Macaca fascicularis: one gene and its partner. The protein of the gene in region 2 interacts with the protein of the main gene of each other region in a biochemical or structural test. Links are inferred from orthologs where the notes say so. Each region holds a gene or a part of one and is shown on either strand. Other genes may lie near its edges.

Evidence for each region.
Region 1: of the proteins of MID1 (region 2) and IGBP1, one has a biochemical effect on the other in vitro, tested with the Homo sapiens proteins (5 studies listed by BioGRID, with this or other methods). The link is inferred for Macaca fascicularis from reciprocal best matches to the Homo sapiens genes MID1 and IGBP1.

Annotation. Positions count from the first base shown.
Region 1 is NC_088395.1:76,887,203-76,897,268, reverse strand, and holds the start of IGBP1 (immunoglobulin-binding protein 1), read right to left. Parts: upstream 5,618-10,066; 5' UTR 5,605-5,617; coding exon 5,417-5,604; intron 5,032-5,416; coding exon 4,738-5,031; intron 1-4,737. UniProt on the Homo sapiens protein: Associated to surface IgM-receptor; may be involved in signal transduction.
Region 2 is NC_088395.1:10,132,991-10,142,956, forward strand, and holds the end of MID1 (E3 ubiquitin-protein ligase Midline-1), read right to left. Parts: intron 9,040-9,966; coding exon 8,832-9,039; intron 3,318-8,831; coding exon 2,969-3,317; 3' UTR 1,971-2,968; downstream 1-1,970. UniProt on the Homo sapiens protein: Has E3 ubiquitin ligase activity towards IGBP1, promoting its monoubiquitination, which results in deprotection of the catalytic subunit of protein phosphatase PP2A, and its subsequent degradation by polyubiquitination.

The DNA of each region.
Region 1 (10,066 bases), about 67 Mb from region 2:
GGGTAAAAGCCAAGGGTTCAAAGTATGACATGTCTGTGAAACACCCAGGAAGGAAGGGTGTTGCAAGTATGGGTCTGAAGGTCAGGAAGAGTCTGGGCTAGTGATATGAATGTGGGAGACATTAGTATAAAGTTAAGTGTTGATATCTGTCAGGCATTTAAGAAAAACATTCAAAGCAGGCAGGCCAAAGAAATGCAAATCAAAACAATAGATACTTTCTGTTTGCCCAATTGGATTATCTTTTTTTTTCTTTTTTCTTTTTCTTTTCTTTTTTTGAGATGGGGTCTCGCTGTTGTCAGACCAGGCTGGAGTGCAATGGTGCGATCTCAGCTTAACCTCCACCTCCTGGGTTCCAGCAATTCTCCTTCCTCAGCCTCCCAAGAAGCTGAGATTACAGCCATCCGCCACCACGCCTGGCTAATTTTTGTATTTTTAGTAGAGATGGGGTTTTGCCATGTTGGCCAGGCTGGTCTCGAACTTCTGACCTTAGGTGATCCACCCGCCTTGGCCTCCCAAAGTGCTGGGATTACAGGTGTGAGCCACCGCGTCCGGCCACGCAATTGGATTTTCTAAGTATTAACATCCAAGACAAATGCAGTGGAACATATTCTGAAACTCTGTTATTGTGGAAAGCAACACTTTTACCATATGTCAAGAGCCTCAAAATATTCAAACACTTTGACCCAGTCACTGGCTCCAGAAATCCACCCTAAGGAAACAGTGACAGATGCATTTAAAGATGTTTGTTTATAGCATTACTTAGAATAGCAAAAAACCAGTGTCTAAATATTTGATAATAACAGATTAAATAATTATGGTACAACTAGAGCATGGAACATTCAATATCATGGTTTCAAAAAACACGAGGAAATGCTCACGGTACGTTAGGTTAAAAAAACAGGATAGTTACAGCATTCCAAATTTATTAACTTAAATAACTATATATCTGAAAGGAAACACACCAGAAAGTTAACAATGATCATCATGAGTGCTAGGACTGAGGCTTATTTTTAATTTAAAAAATATTCTTCTGTTTTGCAAACTTTCTACAATGAGCACTATTACTTTTACACTCAAGAAAATCTTTTTTTTTTTTTTTTTTTGAGACAGGGTCTCACTCTGTCATCTAGGCTGGAATACAATGGTGTGATCACAGCTCACTGCAGCCTCAACCTCCAGGGGCTCAAGTGATCCTCCCAGCTCAGTTCAGCTTCTGGAGTAGCTGGGACTACAGGACTGTGCCACCACACCTAATTTTTTATTTTTATTTTTTGGTAGAGACAGAGTCTTACTTTGTTGCCTAGGCTGTTCTTGAACTCCTGGGCTCAAGTAATCCTCCCGCCTCGGCCTCCCAAAGTGTTGGGATTACAGGCATGAGCCACCATGCTCAGCCTAATTTCTATTTTTAATCATCCTGTAAGACTCGTCTCAAATACCATTTATGTTCTTTTTTTTTTTTTTTTTGAGACAGAGTCTCATTCCATTACCCAGGCTGGAGTGCAATAGCGCGATCTCGGCTCACTGCAGCCTCTGCCTCCCGGGCTCAGGCGATTCTGCTGCCTCAGCCTCCCGAGTACCTGGGATTACAGGAGTGCATCACCACTCCCAGCTAATTTTTTTTTTTTTTTTTTTTTTCCAGAGACGGGGGTTTCACCATGTTGACCAGACTGGTCTTGAACTCCTGACCTCAAATGATCCACCTGCCTCAGCCTCCCAAAGTGCTGGGATTACAGGCGTGAGCCACCGTGCCTGGTGTCAAATGCCATTATGTTCTGAAACCTTTTCTTCATCCCTCCAACCAGATGTGACCACTCCCTCGTCTTTCTCTTGCAGGTTTTTTTTTTTTTTTTGTATAATTATTTGGATACCAAACTCACTGTTTAAACTACCTACTACCTGCTGACAGGCTGCCCCCAACTACTTACAAAGGACAGGATGTTAAATTCCATTTCATATCAGTCTAGCCCATATCCTCAGTCACTCACTATCCCCTAACTTTATTATTCCTCATAGTCCTTACCAGCTGAAATTTCATTATTTACTAGCTTATTGTTTTTCTCTCGCACCAGAATAAAAGCTCCATAGCAGCACTGACTTTATCTGGTTCTCTAACACCTAGAACAGCTCCTGGCACACAGGAAGGAATTAATAAATATTTTTGAATAAATGAGTCATCTTCAGCTCTCTAGACCAAGCCTCTCCTCTGAGCTTCAGACTAACAGATACCTCTACTTATCTCCTAGGCACCTTAAACTCAACATGTTTCAATACTAAATTCATACTCTCACCTTCCCCCATCTTCTCTTTTTCCTCTTTCCCCATCGCAATAAATTTCACAGCCATCCACCTAAATCAGAAACATGGACATCTTTCCTTGCTGCTTCCTTCTATCCCACCTTCCACAACCAATTGATCACCAGGTTTCCTGTAGATTCAACCCTCCTAAATATGTTCCCCCATCCCTCTACCATTGCAATAGTAAACCCCAGTCACCTTTGTGACTTAACTGGGTCTAATCTTTTCCCTCATTGTTTCCTAACTGCTGTTAGAGTGTACTAGTTAAAATACAAATGTGATCATGCTACTATTTGAAAAGAAACAGCCAGGGCGCAGCAGCTCACACCTGTAATCCCAGCACTTTGGGAGGCCGAGGCGGACCAGCCTGGCCAACATGGCAAAACCCCAGCTCTACTAAAAATACAAAAATTAGCCGGGCGTGGTGGCAGGTGCCTGTAATCCCAGCTACTCGAGAGGCTGAGGCAGGAGAATTGCTTGAACCCAGGAGGTGGAGATTGCAGTGAGCCGAGATCACACCACTGCACTCCAGCTTGGGTGACAAGAGCAAAACTCTGTATCAAAAAAAAAAGAAAAAAGAAACAGAACTCTTCAGTGGATCTCAGTCACCAACCAGAGTAAGCTCTTTGGCATGTCCTATCTGATAGCAGCTGATATTTACAGAATACTCACCATGTGCCAGATATTGGGCTGTTTTATGTGCTTTTTCCCATTTGTGCTTATTAACCCTGAGGTAGGTACACGTGTGTCTCAACTTAGAACGGGGCTACATCCCAATAAATCCATCATAAATTGAAAATATGGGAAGTTGAAAACACATTTAATACAGCTTATTGAACATCATAGCTTAGCCTAGTTTACCTTCAACATGTTCAGAACACTTATATTAGCGTACAGTTGGGCAAAATCATCTAACACAAGGCCTATTTTATAATAAAGTGTTGAATAACTCATGTAATTTATTGATGTTCCCCTGAATGTGTATTGCTTCTGCACCAATATAAAGTCAAAAAATTCTAAGACAAGCCATCGCAAATCGGGGACCACCTGTACCATTATTATTTAGATTTCACATATGAGGAAAGCTGAGGCTCAGTTAGGTTAAATAACTTCTCCAAAGTCCAACAAATTATAAGTAAAGCTGGGTCTCAAACCCAGGTCTCTCACTCTACGACCCATACTCTTAGCCGCAAATAATAATAGTTGACTTTGAGTGTTTACTGTGTCAAACATTGTGCTAACTGCTTTATATATATATTTGTCTTTTAATCCTCAAAAACCACTTTATAAGGAAGGACCTATTATCTGAATTTTGCAGCTGGGGAAATTCAGGTACTGAAAGATTAAATAATTTGCCAAAAATCAGTGACTAATCACAGCGGTCGAGCTGGGATTCAAACACCTTATCAAGTTCTCAGCAACAAGTTTCTCTTCACGTTCCTCACATCCCAGGCTCTCCTTGATGTGGACCCTACAACATTCTTCAGTATCATTCCTTCCCCCTTACCACCACCCTCTTTGTGTTCTACCATCACCTAATTGCCTATAGCTGTTGTTTTCGTCCTACACATCTCCACCCATCACTGTTTCTTTAATGCCTCTATGGCTTTACTAAGGCTATTACATACTCTGCTGGCTAATGCCCTCCTCTCCTCTTCCTCTGGATATTCCTATTTACCCTTAAAGAACTCAGCACAGAAGTCACCTCTTCCAGGGAGCTTTCTCCTCTCTCCTGCTCCCTTTGGTTAGGTGCCCCTCCCGTCTGCTCTCATAGTACCTTGTACAACCCTCCATAACATCAGTTTATATTGATATTCTGTTTCTATGCCCGTTTTCCTCACCAGATTGTATGCTCCTCCAAGGCACGGACAACTCATACTCACACAAACACCTATATACTTTGTATCCCCAGTGCCTAGCATAGTTCCTAGACAGCATGACCACCCATTAAATGTTGTTTAAAAAACAAACAACAAAAAAACCTAAGAAAGTAAGCAACTTTTCCAAGATCACACGATGAAGCTGTGCCAGGACTAAGATGAGTTCAGGATGTTACACATCTACTCCAGCAGTCTGAACAGAGCTCCTCAATCAGTGGACCATAAAATGGCCTAGCTTTGTCTTCCAGAGACATCTACCCCACTGTACCATGTGAACATTGCTATGATGTGATGTGGAAAAGGTTGGGAGACACTCTGCTAAACTACATTGCTGCTGTTGGCAACCATAAGGTCGTCGGGGTCTGACAGGTAAGTATAATCATCTCAACAAAAGCAGAGGCTTCTTGAAAAACTCAGGAAAGTTTGCTCTCCCCAGGGCCTATGCTCAATAAGAACCAAGAAAGTGACACACACCATTCTGGCCCCCCACCAACCGCCAAGAAAGCATGCCCCCGAAAAGCACTGCCATTGGGCAGCCCTCATATTATAGCTATTGACCCACCTCTCTATTTTAGCCTGTCTTTGAGATGCCATAGCAACGAGGCTAGGATAAGCCATGGAAGAATTGGCAGTGTGATTTTCAGCTGAGTTGTTCTTGGTTTTGGGCAGCTCAAACTCTGCCACATGATAGCAATGGCACTGAGTTAAGTAGTTCATAAAGTGTTCTCGAGCCCGCTGCAAATGATCTAGACGCTTGCTGGGGTTGACTTGTTTCATGGTGAGGGCTCCTTGAAACGCTGGCACCAACAGGTACTTCAGGTCGGTGGAAGCAATCTCTTCCAAATCTTCATTTCGGCTGGAAGAGCAAAAAGGAGGCAGTGAAGCCTGGCTAGGCATTCAAATTGTGGCCTTGGCTCCTGGGGGACGGAGTGGGAGGCTGGGCTGGGAGTGGAGCAGAGGGAGGAGGCACGGGTAACAGCGCCCAGTTTCACTCAATGAAAGTGGCTGAGCGCTCACATCCAGTGCCTTGCAATCAGCAGACACTAGGGAGCAGAGTCGTGGGATATCAACCATCTGGGAAGAGAGGTGGGGAATGTAAACAATGTACACAAGATCGCAGTGGTAAGTAGGAACGAAAGGTTCTCACTACTAAAGGTCCCCTCCACTCAGACGCAATGGCTCCACCCTTGGTAACCATTATTACCTTCGTTCTCAGCCATTATTACTATCTTCCCCCCTACCTGAACAAGTCGAGCTGCGATAACATTTCGGCAGCCTTCTCAAGGAGGTCCAGGCCCTTGAACACCTTCTCCTGGACTATCCGGGAACCGGCAGGTTCAGTCGCTACTTCTACTTCGTCCAGTAACTGTTTGCCCGTTTCGAACAGCTCGGGGAGCCGCGGCAGCAGTAACTCGTCCTCAGCAGCCATCTTGGGGAGAGAGGAACCCGGAAGATCTCTTTCCCGGGGTCAAAGGCAACCTTGATAAAGAAGAACTGGGCGACCGCGGACAAAACCGGAAGAGGCAGCTCATTGGTCCAGTAGCCTCACTGTTACCAAAGCATCAAAGGACTTCCGGGAGCCGCCGTTCGCCGGCCCTGGCAACCGTTTCCATAGACTCATTTTATGAGGCAGCCTATTACAAGTCGTAGGCATCTGTTAAAAACAAACAAACAAACGAAACCCTAGGCGCTGTTTTACCATGAGCTCCTCGTCGCTGACACGGGGCTGAGAAGTTCTGTGGGCTCTGAAGCCCGGGTGTGGCGAGGCTGAATTCGGAGGGCCAGGAGTGCGGACGAGCGAGTGCGCTTTAGGAGCCGGTCAGGCGCGCCTCTTACCTCGCGAGTAGCTCCCTCGATTGAGGAGTCCAGGGACTCCAGCCGCCGCACCACTCCCACGGTTTGAAGATCCCGTCGCTTGAGCGCGAAGTGCAAGTAGCGCCCCCCTGCGGCTTCCGTCCACCCACCAGCTGGAGCTCCGGGTTCCTCCCGGCCAATCCTCTCCCGTCCTCTTCCCCCTTCACACCACACATGCCTACGATCCGGGGTCCAGTGGAGCCCCCCTCAGCAAGATTGGTAACCTGCAACTTCGGTCACCGCACAGCCGGCTTCCCTTCGTGCACTTAGTTCCTATGTCAAATGTTATTTCTGTGCAACCTTCCTTGTCTCCCCACCGCCTTCCATCCTGTGCCCTTCAGCCACCAAGTCTGGGTTTCTTCTCTGCATCTCTATCATGGCACCTACCACACTGTATAATTGCTAGTGACTTACAAATGTCTCTTATCGCAATGAATTTGACTCATCTTTGCACCACTCTGGCTAGCCTGAGTACTCAGTATCAGTCATTATCTGAATTAAAAAAAAAAAGTGATCAGTTTGGAAAGCAGCCCAGTTATGCAGAACTGCATTGTTCAGTAGGTAGTTACTAGCTGCTTGTGGCTACTAAGCACCTGAAAGTGGCTATTTGGAATCGAGGTGTGTTGCAAGTGTAAAAAAACCCCAGATTTCAAAGACATTAAAAAAAAAAAAGAATGAAAAATGTCAATACTTTTTACAGGGACTACATGTTGAAATGATAGTCTTTTGGATATATTGGATTAAATATATTATTAGAATTAATTGTACTTGTTTATTTTCACTTTGTAAATGTGCCTGCCAGATAATTTAAAACTATATTTGTAGCTCCCGTTATATTTCTACTGGACAGAACTGATGAAAAATATAATTTCAGGACTTCAAAGAAGGGACATCATTGTTTTGAACAAAGCAGTATAAATACATACTGATTACCTTAGGACGCAGCCTGAATTGTCCTAGGAGATTTAAGTAGCAGGCACACTGTCTAACCCTGAATATAAACTTTTAAACTAGTATTTTAAACTACATATAGTTGAGAAGAGAAAAGCTTCATTAAAAAACAACTAGAGGGCAATATAGGACAGTATAAAATAGGTGATACGTTGTACTGCACAGGCTGTTGGAAAACCAAGAAAGGGCAAGTCTTGGTTCTATGCTAGGAGTAGTTCAGAAGGCTTCTTAGACATGACATGCAGTCACATAGAAGAATGTCAAAGTTTAAAGGGAACCCCCAAAATCGGAGGAAAAACTTGAGACCAGAAAGGTTAAGGGACTTGCCCAGCCAGTTTGTGACAAAGTCAGTGACTTCTGAGTTCAGTTGTTTCTACTCCATTAGCCTTCAGTTGGGTAGGATTTAGAAAGATGAAGACCTTTAATGTGGGACAGATTGAAGCCCCAAACTAGAACAGTGCTTCCTAAGAGGGAGAGGAGACTGTGGCACACATGCAGGTTGAAAAAGCTTCCCAGGTGATTCTAATAAACCTTCCCTTGCAACCCCTGCTTTATAAACTAAGAAGGAAGTGAGACTTTGGCGAATTACCTATTTGGTTTATCTGGCACCTCTAGTAACTCTAGTAAACTGACCTTTCAGGGTCAGGCTCAGCAGGGAATATAAAGAAGAAAAAGATAGTATTTGTGGAGGAAACTTAGAAATGTAGTAATTGTGAGAGTAAAGATAATTTGCTTCTCTGCATTTGCTTGGATTAAAACATGCCTTTACTGTTACTTAAGAGGAAAAAAATATGCAGAATCTTAATTTGGTCTTAAGCTTTGTAAGCCATTTTTTCTATGGCTTTCAAAATTAGTCTTTTTTTTTTTTTTTTTTTTTTTTGAGACAGGGTCTCTCTCTGCCACCCAGGCTGGAGTGCTGGAGTGCAATGGCACGATCTCGGGTCATTGCAAACTCTGCCTCCTGGACTCAAGTGATCCTCTCCCCTCAAGCCCCCCAAGTAGCTGGGATTACAGGTGCAAGCCCCCACTCCTGGCTAATTTTTGTATTTTTTTGTAGAGGCGGGGTTTCACCATGTTGCCCAGGCTGGTCTCAAACTCCTGAGGTCAAGCGATCCACCCGCTTCACTGTCCCAAAGTGTTGGGATTACAGACGTGATTCACTGTGCCCAACCAAAATGACAGTCTTTATGGGGGATGCCAATTACTTTTAGAGTACCTGTTATAATATTAGAATTGTCATTTTAAGCATAGCATTTCATCTTATTTTGAAAGAATACCAAGATTAAAAAGTGGTTAGAAGAAAAGGAATAATGGCCGGGCGTGGTGGCTCCTGCCTGTAATCCCAGCACTTTGGGAGGCCGAGGTGGGCAACTCACCTGAGGTCAGGAGTTCGAGACCAGCCTAGCCAACATGGTGAAACACCGTCTCTACTAAGCATACAAAAGTTAGCTGGGCTTGGTGGCACTGGCCTGTAATCCCAGCTACTCAGGAGGCTGAGACAGGAGAATCGCTTGAACCCGGGAGGCGGAGGCTGCAGTGAGCCGAGATCGCACCACTGCACTCCAGCCTGGGCGACAGAGTGAGACTCTGTCTCAAAAAAAAAAAAAAAAAAAAAAAAAAAAGAAAAAGAAAAAAAGGAATAATAAAAACGAGTCATTTGCTGTGTTTTGTGTGTAAACACTTTATCACATTAAACTCCTATTGTGCATGGGAGATTTTTTAACATCCTAGTTTAGGGCACTTAGCAATCATGAAAGTATAATGGTACTTAAACTTTTTGTAGTAGCATAATTCTTTTTCCAAAACAAGTTTTAAAGAACCTACAATTTCTAAAAGGACTGATGTATTTGAAGAGGATACAAAGAAGTCTGCCAACTCAGCCACTGGCCCATCTTCCTCAACCTGCTCAGTGAGTGGCACTCCAGGTGAGGGACTCCAGGGCTCTAAGTAACACAATATGAAAAGCACTAATCTGGCCAGGTGCGGTGGCTCACGCCTGCAATCCCAGCACTTTGGGAGGCTGAGGTGGGAGGATCCCTTTAGCCCAACTCTGTTACTGAATAGCTGTGTGACTTTGGAGAAATTCCTTCCTTTACTCTTTCCATATGTGCTGTGTGCTACCTGAATGCTAGGCATTGAGAATTCGAACACCACCCAAGGTTTAAGCTCTTAAGGGGTCCATAGTTCCATGGAAAAGACAGGTAAACAAATAATCAAATAGTAATTTGATAAATATTTTGATAAAGGTGTGTTCAAGGTGTTAGAAGAATGGAGAGAATAACTTTGGCCCGGAGGGGCATTCTGTTAAGGTCAAACTCAATAATATGACTTCAAGATCCTTTCCGATCTGCCTGCTGACATCCTTTTCATTTTGTTCCTTCATGGATCCTAAGCTGAACCTTTAGCCAACTCTCCTAGTTCTCCAAACCTATCATGTTCTCTTAGGCCTTCATGCATTCACATAGGTGGTACCTTCTGCCTGGAATGTCATCTTCCTTGTCTGTGCCTGGCAAATTTCTATTCATTACTCATAACTTGGCTCAAAGATCACTTCCTCTGGGAAGCACTTCCTGGTTTTCCCCCGTAGGCGAGGCTGCCTCCTTCTTAGCTCTTACAGCATTTGATTCATCCCCCTGTGATAGTACTGTACTGTGGTTATCTTTATCCACACCTGTCTCTCACTAAACTGAGCGCTCTTCGAGGCCAGGCAGAGTGTCTTACTCATCTTTGTTCACTCTAGCACAGAACCTGCCACCCATTAGGTAGGAGAGACTCAATGTTAAATGAATAACTTTGTATCATAGTAATACCCAACCTTCTCTGAGTGCTCACATCCTGCCAAGTGACTATGCTAAGTACTTTACATGTGAAGGAGTTCAGGAGATGCCACCCCAAAATATGCCACTTTGGTATGCTGATTATTTGAACCAAGGGCACTTGGGAAACAGTGGATACAGGCAGAGGCTGTCTCTGAGATCCCCTTATCTGCCTAAAGCTGTCTCCTCCAAAAGGAACGTAATTGTCATGAATACCCTCTCTGGGAATCTTCCCAACCAGGGAAGATTAACTTGGATCACAGGAGAGGA
Region 2 (9,966 bases):
TGGAGCTGAGATGGAATTCCACGGTCACTGGAAGACATTAGTTCAGTTCCTCAGCAAGTTTAAGGTCAATATATCAGTACCGTAATAAAAAAGCCTGTCTGTATTCAAGCTGTTTCTTTTCCTCCAGCAGAAACCATCGTCAATATTTGCAGTCAATTTTTGAAGTCACTTTCTTTTAAAGCTGGAAAGAATCCACCCTCATCTTAATCCACTATTTAGAGTCCTACTTGAATGATATTGCCAGCAACTTTCAACTTTGGATCCAGATTTCTTTATTTGTATCCACCAGGAAGAGAGGTACCACATTTCTGAGTTCTTTTATGAGCACTCGCTACATAATTTGCAAGGCCCAGTGCAAAGTGAAAATGCAGGCCCCTTGTTCAAAAATCATTAAGAATTTCAAGACAGCAACAGCAGAGCATTAAATCAAGCTTAGGGCCCTTCTGAACTCCTGGGCTCTGGGCATACCCATGACACCAGACCTAGCAGTCTTGGTTGGTGCTGCATTGATTTTGTTGTATTAATTTAATTGGCACTGCCATCTCTTTTGCCCCTGTATCGCAGTGTTTCCTGTGGTGAGGACCTCAAATAATAAAATACTGTGACCTCAATTAGTTTAAAGAGAATGCAAAATTACACTGCAGCAAATTTTTACAGCATACATATTTTAGACTTTCAAAAAAAAATCACATGGGAATCTTTTCTACATCATTATAGTAATTAAACATGGTGGCCTTTCACCATATACATATTTTCCTGTAAATACGACAACCTGGAACTAGTAACTGCTACTATCCACAATGCTTTTAAGTTAGCCAAGAGTGAGACTTCCACAACAAAATTATGACATAATCTCTCATGTCCTTATAAAAATAGCCAAAACATACCCTAAATGGCTTACTGTGAAAATTTGAGTAGTAACTTCTTAATATTGAAAAACATTATTTTCATGGAAATATTGTCCTTCTACTAACTATTTTATGTTAACATCATAAGGCAAACTGTAGCATTTATTGGTACCTGGAGACCATGATTTTAAAAACTCAGAAGCTGAGTTTTAGACCCTTTTATTTAGAACCTGTTAGTGTACAAAGTGCATTAAAATATCCATTATCCAGTTACCCAAAATGTATGTAAAAATTACTGAGACAACCCTTTCAGTTTATTCAGAGAAGGCAAACACACATTGCTTTTATATTGTAATAAAAAGAAAAACCCATAAGGTTTCCAGAGAAAGATTTTTTTTTCCATTGAGGTGTCCATCTTTTAGATGTGAAATTGTCTTAGGTATCTATCAAAATATTCATCTGGGTATAAATAATATAGTAAATATATAGAATCTATCTGTTAAGAAAAAGGAGAGTGTCTGCTAGGGAAGAGGATGGAAGGACCTCATTGATTTATTTCAGGGAGGCAGTTGGTTGATTTGGTTAAAAACAAAATAACTAAAAACAATGTCTAAATCCACTAGTCTGTTCAGTAAAAATGGCTGACCCAGTATCCCAGGTAAATATTTTAGCAATTGAAACCATTTATAGAGGTCACGCCCTTCATCAAAGTAGAACCAATGCCAGAGTTCTGGTCCAAGAACTGCTCAAGAAAGCCTTAATTCATGGACCATTCCAACGCATCAGATTGGCATGCAAAGAATGCCAACTGACATTTTATAAGCAGGTTCCTGAATAACGAGTTTGAATTTTTTTTTTTTTTTTGGTCTTACAACTCTATTGTAAACTATACTAGACTATAGAGGGACTTCTACATATTTCAAGATGTGTTTAATAAAGGTCTGTTTATAATAACTTTTGAGGCATGTATCTAGTAAATAGTACTTTATGCAATGTCCCTTGTCATTACCAACTCATAAATATTAAGTGTTTTTCAGTGACTTATGTTTGGATGTGGTAGTGGTGATCAGGGCCATGTGCTGATGTCCTGGAGAGCAAAATCAATCCAAAGTGGTGCTGCTATTTGTGACAGAACATGTTTATTTACTCAGCCCCAGAGACAAAAGGAAAATTGATATGGGGGAGGGGGAAATAGGATAACTATTAAACGTAGTGAAGAGATTTCACAGGTCTAAAGAAACTATTAAAAGGAAGGATAAAGTAGATTTTATACCATAAAACAGAATCCTACCTCCGAAAAAGACAAATCAGCCTGAAGTTTTGAATAATCAATAGGATTCAAAATGACTATTTTCAATTGCAATCTCATTCTTAATGTTCTTCCAGAACCCTTAACCCTGAGAGAAGCAGGGCAAAATGCGGCCAAAGGATTCAGAACCTTTCTTTCCAACATTATCTCATCAGCTATCAGAGGGTAAAGATTTAGCCGCGGCAAGGTCCAAGGTCCAAAATCAATTCTTTTCATTCTCTGTCTTGCTCTCCATTTTAGTTGATCTGATACAAGTTTTTGACACCACAATTAAAACACTTCATATTAAACCAGAGTAAGAAAGCCTGTTTACTCCCCTACTAGGTTCAGACACTTCCTGTTATGCACCATCGAGGTGAGAAGACTTATCATGGGATCATTATGAGATGTTAGGTGAGAAGATGAATAAACATACAAAATTACAAAAGTTTTTTTTTGTTTGTTTGTTTTTTTGCAAGCCCATAGATTGTGATGAAATACAGGTTGTAAATAGCTGATAAACTTATGGGCCTCTTAATGTGCAAAACCAAGTAATTCCTAAAAGTTGTAATCCCGATTATGTTTCTCTTATAAATAATCTATAGATTTTCCTCTAAATACAAAAAAAAATTAAAGAAATTATTAAAGCCCGTACTTAATACAAGACACAGTAAAAGGAGAGGAATCTCCTGTTTTGAGCCCTATCTGAGCCGATTTCTGGACACTTTTGGTGAGATTTCATTACACTCATGAAGCCTGTGCTTTCTCAGTCTCCTAAATAGTGGCCTGAACCTTTTTGTTCCCCAGAAAGCTCCTCCATGTGGCCAGACGCTCACGGCAGCTGCTCTGTGCAGTCCAAATGGTCTGGGATAGGAAGCCCAGTGATAATCGTCAGACACTTGTTCCACACGGTGAAGGTGGGGCACACAGGCTGCGCAAATGCGACGTCGAAGGTGTAGAGGTGGATGGAGTTCAAAGCATCATAAAAGGCGATAGAGCCGTTATCATAGTCCAGCAGGATGCCCACGCGCCGGAGGTGGGGAGCAGGCTCAATGGGGATTTCCTTGCTATTGTGTCTCACCACCCAGTTATTGTTGCAGCGGCAGAGCGCCCAGGAAGCAGAGTTCTTCCCAATCCATTCATGCTTCGGGGCTGATTTATAAGCAAGACCAATAGCATACCTGCAGAAACAAAACAGCAACAACAAAAACAATGAGCCATGTTGCATATGCACATTAAATCCGTTCTGTGGTCCTCAGGGGTTATAAAAACATGATCATTTGTTGTCCCTGTTCATTTTCTTTAAGTGAAAGCTTGGCAAGAACCCCAACATCTGTGTTCCTCATCTCCTTCCCTCACAAACAGGGAAAGAAGCATCATATTTACCCACATTTCTGTTTTCAGCTCAAACACTACAGAGAATTTGAACTTTGTATTTTGCTGCTTTTTTTCACTTTTATAAAAATCTACACAATGAATTCGCTAGACCAGTGCTGACCAAAAGAACTTTCTTCAATGATTGAAATGTCCTGCTCTCCTCGATGTGGTAACCACAAGCTACATATGGCTACCGGGCACTTTAGCTGCAGCTGGTGAGACTGAGGAACTGAACTTTAAATTTATTTAATTTTCATTAAGTTAAATGATTTAAATAGCTGCATGTGGCTCATAGCTACCATATTGGACAGCACAACCCTAGACTTCTCCTTTTGACCTTCTTATAATTTTTAATTTAACACTATGTCTGTCATTTTCTGATTCTGAAAGCATTTTGCCAAGGGCAAGCACAGAAGATGATTTCCATTTGTGGGGATAAGTCCTTTGTCATTACTCAGCCCCAGTTTTCTCATGTATACCACAGGGACAACGATAGTCTCCATCTTGCAGTGTGTGATTTTAAGGAGTAAAGGAGAGAATACGTGTTAAGTCCTAGGCACAGGACCTGGCATGCAATATTTAGTAACTGCTATTTTATTATTATTGCCTGATGGCACATATTAACAATAAGTACCAGAATCAGAATTTGAACTTAGGATGACTCAAAACCCACAAACACGAACTACATTCTACAATGCCAACCATAACCAGAAATTGTGCAGTCCATCACTGCCAAGAGCCTTTCTGATTATATTTCCTACTACACCGAAAAAAAATTCTGAATGTGTTTGAGCAGACGATCTTCTGGTTATTCTAAATGTTCTCTTGCTGCTCAAAAAAAAAAAAAAAAAAAAAAAAAAAAAAAATCCAAAGAATGCTTTCTACAATGTTTGTTCTAAGCTTCTTAGTCTCTTTTTACCCCTCTGAAGCATGCCTCTGTAATATTCATAGTATTTCAGTTATTAAGATAAACAAAACCCATCACTCTTAATAAACAGTAAATGACTCACAGGTGAACTTTTAATATGTTATAGCAGAAACCAGCCTAACTGGATATTAACACATGGTATCTTACCCAATGCAGAGAGAAAAATTTCATGGATCTTTAATAAAATGACATTCTTTAAAAAAATCACACTGGACTTAAAATACAATCACTTTAGGAGTGGTGTGTTTAAAAAGAAAATTAATACACCATGCCATCATTAAATCCAAAAGGAGGATGGAATTGATAATCTGCCAAGCCCAGTGTGCAGGCCTGTCTGTCATCAGTGTTGCATCTTCTCTTCCCTCCCATCCATCCTCTCCTGCTTATGAGGAGAATCCAAGTTGCATTTCCCAGAATCCCCTTTCCTGTAGGAGTCTGAGTCAGGCTCTGCTATTGTGATGCCTTTGCACAAGATCCAGAAGTGCTTAGAGGAGGGGAAACACTCTTTCCTGATGGCAGACAGTAGATGTGCAGTTGGTGGAAGCTTCTAGATGAGCACCTGAGTACACCTGCCTTGTGCTGTGGGCAATTTTGCAGCAGCTACAGCTCATCATGACTCCACGAACTAGAGCAGCAGACTCCCGGACTTTGTGCCCCAGCCCTTCCAGGGTCCTGTAAGCTTCTGGGTCCCTTCCTCTGGGGAGTGCATCAAGGGTCTCAAATGTCATCTGTTTATTTGATACATTGATATGGTTTGGCTATGTCCCCACTCAAATCTCATCTTGAATTCCCACATGTTGTGGGAGGGACCCGGTGGGAGGAAACTGAATCATGGGGGCAGGTCCTTTCAGTGTTCTTGTGATAGTGAATAAGTCTCACGAGATCTGATGGTTTTAAAAAGGGGGAGTTTCCCTGCACAAGTTCTCTTTTTGCCTGCTGCCATCCATGTAAGACGTGGCTTGTTCCTCCTTGCCTTCTGCCATGATTGTGGGCTTTCCCAGCCACATGGAACTGTTAAGTCCATTATAAATCTCTTTTGTAAATTGCCCTATCTTGGTTATATCTTTATCAGCAGCATGAAAATGGACTAATACATACACTTTGGAAAGGTTTTCATTTTGCAATTGTCAGTATCTCCCACTCCCTAAAATGTTCTGTATACCCCAGTAAATACCATTTTCATCTTTCAGATAATTTGGAACCTGCATTTGCATCACAAAATCACCACATCTGTATTGTTTCCTTCTTGTTGTGACACAGCATTTTTATTTTTTATTACTTTGATGTTTATTTCCCATTTGAACCTTAACTGAACCCTATGAAATAGCTGTGGCAGGTATGGCTGACTACATGTAGCAAATAGAAACAGAATATTAAAATTGGGAGCAAAATCCAGAGTTGTATGCTGCCCCCACCCCTTCTGGTCTAATAATCTTTGCATGAATCCGTTATTACTCGTTTAGTTAACACCATTTCATAAAACACCAAGTGCACGGCCGGGCGCGGTGGCTCAAGCCTGTAATCCCAGCACTTTGGGAGGCCGAGACGGGCGGATCACGAGGTCAGGAGATCGAGACCATCCTGGCTAACCCGGTGAAACCCCGTCTCTAGTAAAAAATACAAAAAAAAAAATAGCCGGGCGAGGTGGCGGACTACTCCCTGTAGTCCCAGCTACTCGGGAGGCTGAGGCAGGAGAATGGCGTAAACCCGGGAGGCGGAGCTTGCAGTGAGCTGAGATCCGGCCACTGCACTCCAGTCTCGGCGACAGAGCAAGACTCCGTCTCAAAAAAACAAACAAACAAAACAAAACAAAACAAAAAAAACACCAAGTGCACATTAGCATCAGAGAGTAAGAAAATAACTAAGTGTATAGTCCATTAAGCAAAGGAAAATACCATTATAGTATCATTAATCTGTGAAACTAGGTACATATTTCCATTGAGCTTGAAAGGTGTAGGCAGAATGTAATGTTCCATTAAGTTATGCAGTGAGACACGGAGAATTCAAAGTATAAAAATTATGTCTCTCAGGGCAATGTTAACATGCCCCATTGCACAGATCATAATGTACACATTAATTTAAAGTCAGGACTATATTTGACAAGCAAATATATGTCATTAGCTGTTGCAAATCAAGATGTCACAGGCATTTAATTGTAGGGGGCACCCCTTCCTTGCTAATACCCCCCAGGAAATGTAAAGTGACTTTCTACATGAAGATTTTTCTGAAATTGACACAGTTAAGTTTGTAAAGATTAATTGTGTAGCAATTAATTTTAGAATTTCTTTTCCCCCTTATGAGTTAGTTTTGACATCTGGAGGGTGTTTTCAAGGTAATGCTGATCTGTGTTTATATAACTGAAGTGGTCTGATGGAATTTTGCAAACTATTCATCAATGGCAATGAGATCATAATGATCAGGTTTCATTTATCATAAATAATTATTAATAGAGTAATAATCATTTAGACCCTGGATTCTATCCCAGATTAATACAGCATATTAATTAGCTAGAAACATTTGCTTTTTTGTACCTGCATTCATTGTGTTTTCCTTTGTGCTTTAATTTTGCCCCATCACAGCTAAAAATGGCAAATGCCTATCTAGCCCAGAGCCTAGTGGGATGAAGGATTTGTCCTCCATCCTCTGGCAGGATGTTGGAACAGAAAAATCTTCTAGGCAAAGAGAATTATGAGGATAACAACAAAGGAAAACCTACTCGCTCAGCCAATATAGTATGTACCATTATTGGGAGAGATGGGAAGCTTACAATTCACTTCTTAGATTTTTGGCTAATTTCTACCTACAATACAAGGGATTCAGACATGTCACATTATTTGCATAGGTTTGAATTGAACGTTTTTTAAATATATAAATAAGAAGTGTTTTATCATGCTTATATTGAAACAGTTATACTCACCATCTTCAGGCTATGCAATTTTGAATATTGATTTTATTTTTTAAAGCAAGGATTTAGCTATCACTCATTAAGTACACTATTGTAAGCCCTAGAGAGTAATTATAGCATTTCAAAAATATACCACCCTTTTGTGAATAGCAGCATAGCATGGTGGTTAAGAGCAGGGAACAGCAAACTACTACCCAGGGGCGAACTCTGGCCCTCTGCCTGTTTTTATAAATGAAGTTTTATTGGAATGCAGCCATGTCCATTTGTGTAGGTGTTGTCTGTGGCTGCTTTCCCACTAAAACAGAAGAGTCGAGTATTAGTGACAAAAATCATTTGGTGTGCAAAACCAGAAATATTGAATCTCTGGCCCTTTACAGATAATGTTTGTGGACTGCTGGTTAAGAGCCTGACCCTTGACTGCAGACTTGCTGACTCTGCCACCTGTGAGCTTTGTAACCCTGTGATCTTCAGCATATACCTCAGTCACCTCATCAGTAAAGTGGATAATATTAGCACCTACCTTTGTAGGGCTGTAAGCCTGAATAAATGAGTTGACATCTGTAAAATGCTTAGACCAGTGCCTGGCACATACTTGTACCATATGAGGGCTTATTAAATAAAAATAAAATAGCTCCCTTTTTGATCAATAGCAAGCAGGCATTTGTGAGACAGACGGTCAAAGTAAGGGGTGCAGTTTGTGGCTGTGGATTAGGCAAGGTTAACTTTGTGAGGTTAACTAATTCCAGTGTAATTGTGTCCTGACCTTTGCCCTTATTCTTAGAGAACTCAGTGGGCTAAAGTTACTGGGCTGGATCTAACAGGCCTTTTGAAATTATTCCCAGCCTATGATCACTGCTTCACCCCCACCATTCAGCCCTCAGCTATTTGCACTAATTGGTCCAGTCTAGAATCATAAAACATACAAGGCAACAGAAATTAGTTTTGTATAATGATGAAGAGTGATGTTTTAAAGTAGGGAATTGCAAACTTTTTCTTGAAAGGACCAGGAAGTAAATATTTTTGGCTTCATAGACCATATGATTCTCTCTTAACTACTCGATTCTGCTGTTGTGGCTGAAAGGCAGCCATAGACTACATGTAAAAAAATGGACCTGGCTGTATTCCCATAAAACTTTATTTACAAAACCAGGTAGCAGGCCAGGTTTGGCTCATGGGCTGTGGTTTGCTGACCCATGTTTTATGGCATAAAAGAGCAGTGTTAGCATGGTATAGCTCTTCCAATGACCAGAGCTCTATAATCTTGAACAGAGAACCCACAGATGTGGGTATTAGTAATATATGGTCATTGTTTGAATTTGCTGAGTTTGGGGGTGTTTGTTATGCAGCATTACCTAGCAATAGCTGACTAATACAACTTTTCTGCACTTTATTCTTTAAGATGCATTTCAGTATGGGTTGACTCTCTAAGTACAGAATGAGATGTGCCTTTTTATAACTGCAGGACAATGAATATAAGTTGCCTACCATGTGCTTCCACTTATGACCACTTCCCAATAATGCCGGCCACTATCAATAAACACATTTCCAGCTACTCCATAGCTCCCCTGGCTGGTGAAGCGTTCAGGCGTGTGACTCTTCTTGGATGATGATTCATCACGTTCTACTGTCAAGTTGTCATGGGACACCTTCAGTTTTCGATGAGCAGATTTGGGATCCAGTTTAAATGGTTGGCCTGAAAACAAGTTCACAAAACAGAAAAAGGAAGAGGAAGAGGATTGTTTATTTTATTATAACCAATAGCATATTTTCAAAATCAGATTTAAAAGACAGGAACAAGTCAGCCCTCCCTGAGACATGCCTCCTATCACAAAGTGGTATCTTATATTTTAATAGTAATTTAAACGTTATAAGCAACTTTCAAAGACATTTGCTTGCAAAGTTTTCATAATATTCAAAAGACAATAGAGAGCAGAAACTCTGTGTAAAGTATAGTACACAATAAGAGTGAATAAGAACATGTGCCTGCCTTCATAAGCTTTCAGTCTACAAGTTCTAATATAGGGATCCAGTGGTGGTATGCCAACTATTCAACAACAGCATGGACAAGGCTTAGCTAGAACACATAGTGTGAGCTAGCTTCATGGATTCCAGGTGTACACAACCAGCACAGGTACATACCGGCTGGATAGCATCCTAAAAAGGAGGAATGAATGAAGACTCCATTTTCAACCACTGCAGTGTTCTATCCAGCATAAGATGCATTCATGCTCAATAGACTTCAGACGAGAAGCCAAACAAATCAAGATCTTTGGTTTTAACATATAGAATACTCTAGAGGTTTATATTATTCTGAGATTATTAAAAATTAAAGCATTACTCTTAGGAATTTAGGATGAGAATACAATTTTCAGGCCATAAAATTAGGAAAAACTGTGATAGCAATGCCTGGGTTTTCTACTCATGAAATTATTTATAAATAACAAGGCCTTCTCTATTTCATTACTCACATTTGTATCTTAAAGATTTAAGTATTAAAAAATCTTGGCAGAGTCACACCTGGACATTTTGTCATAGTTGTTACTTCTTTGACAATTCAATATTGGTTTGGAGTACTGCCTGTCATTCAACACTGCATTGGGTACAAGGCATTTAAAGGCAG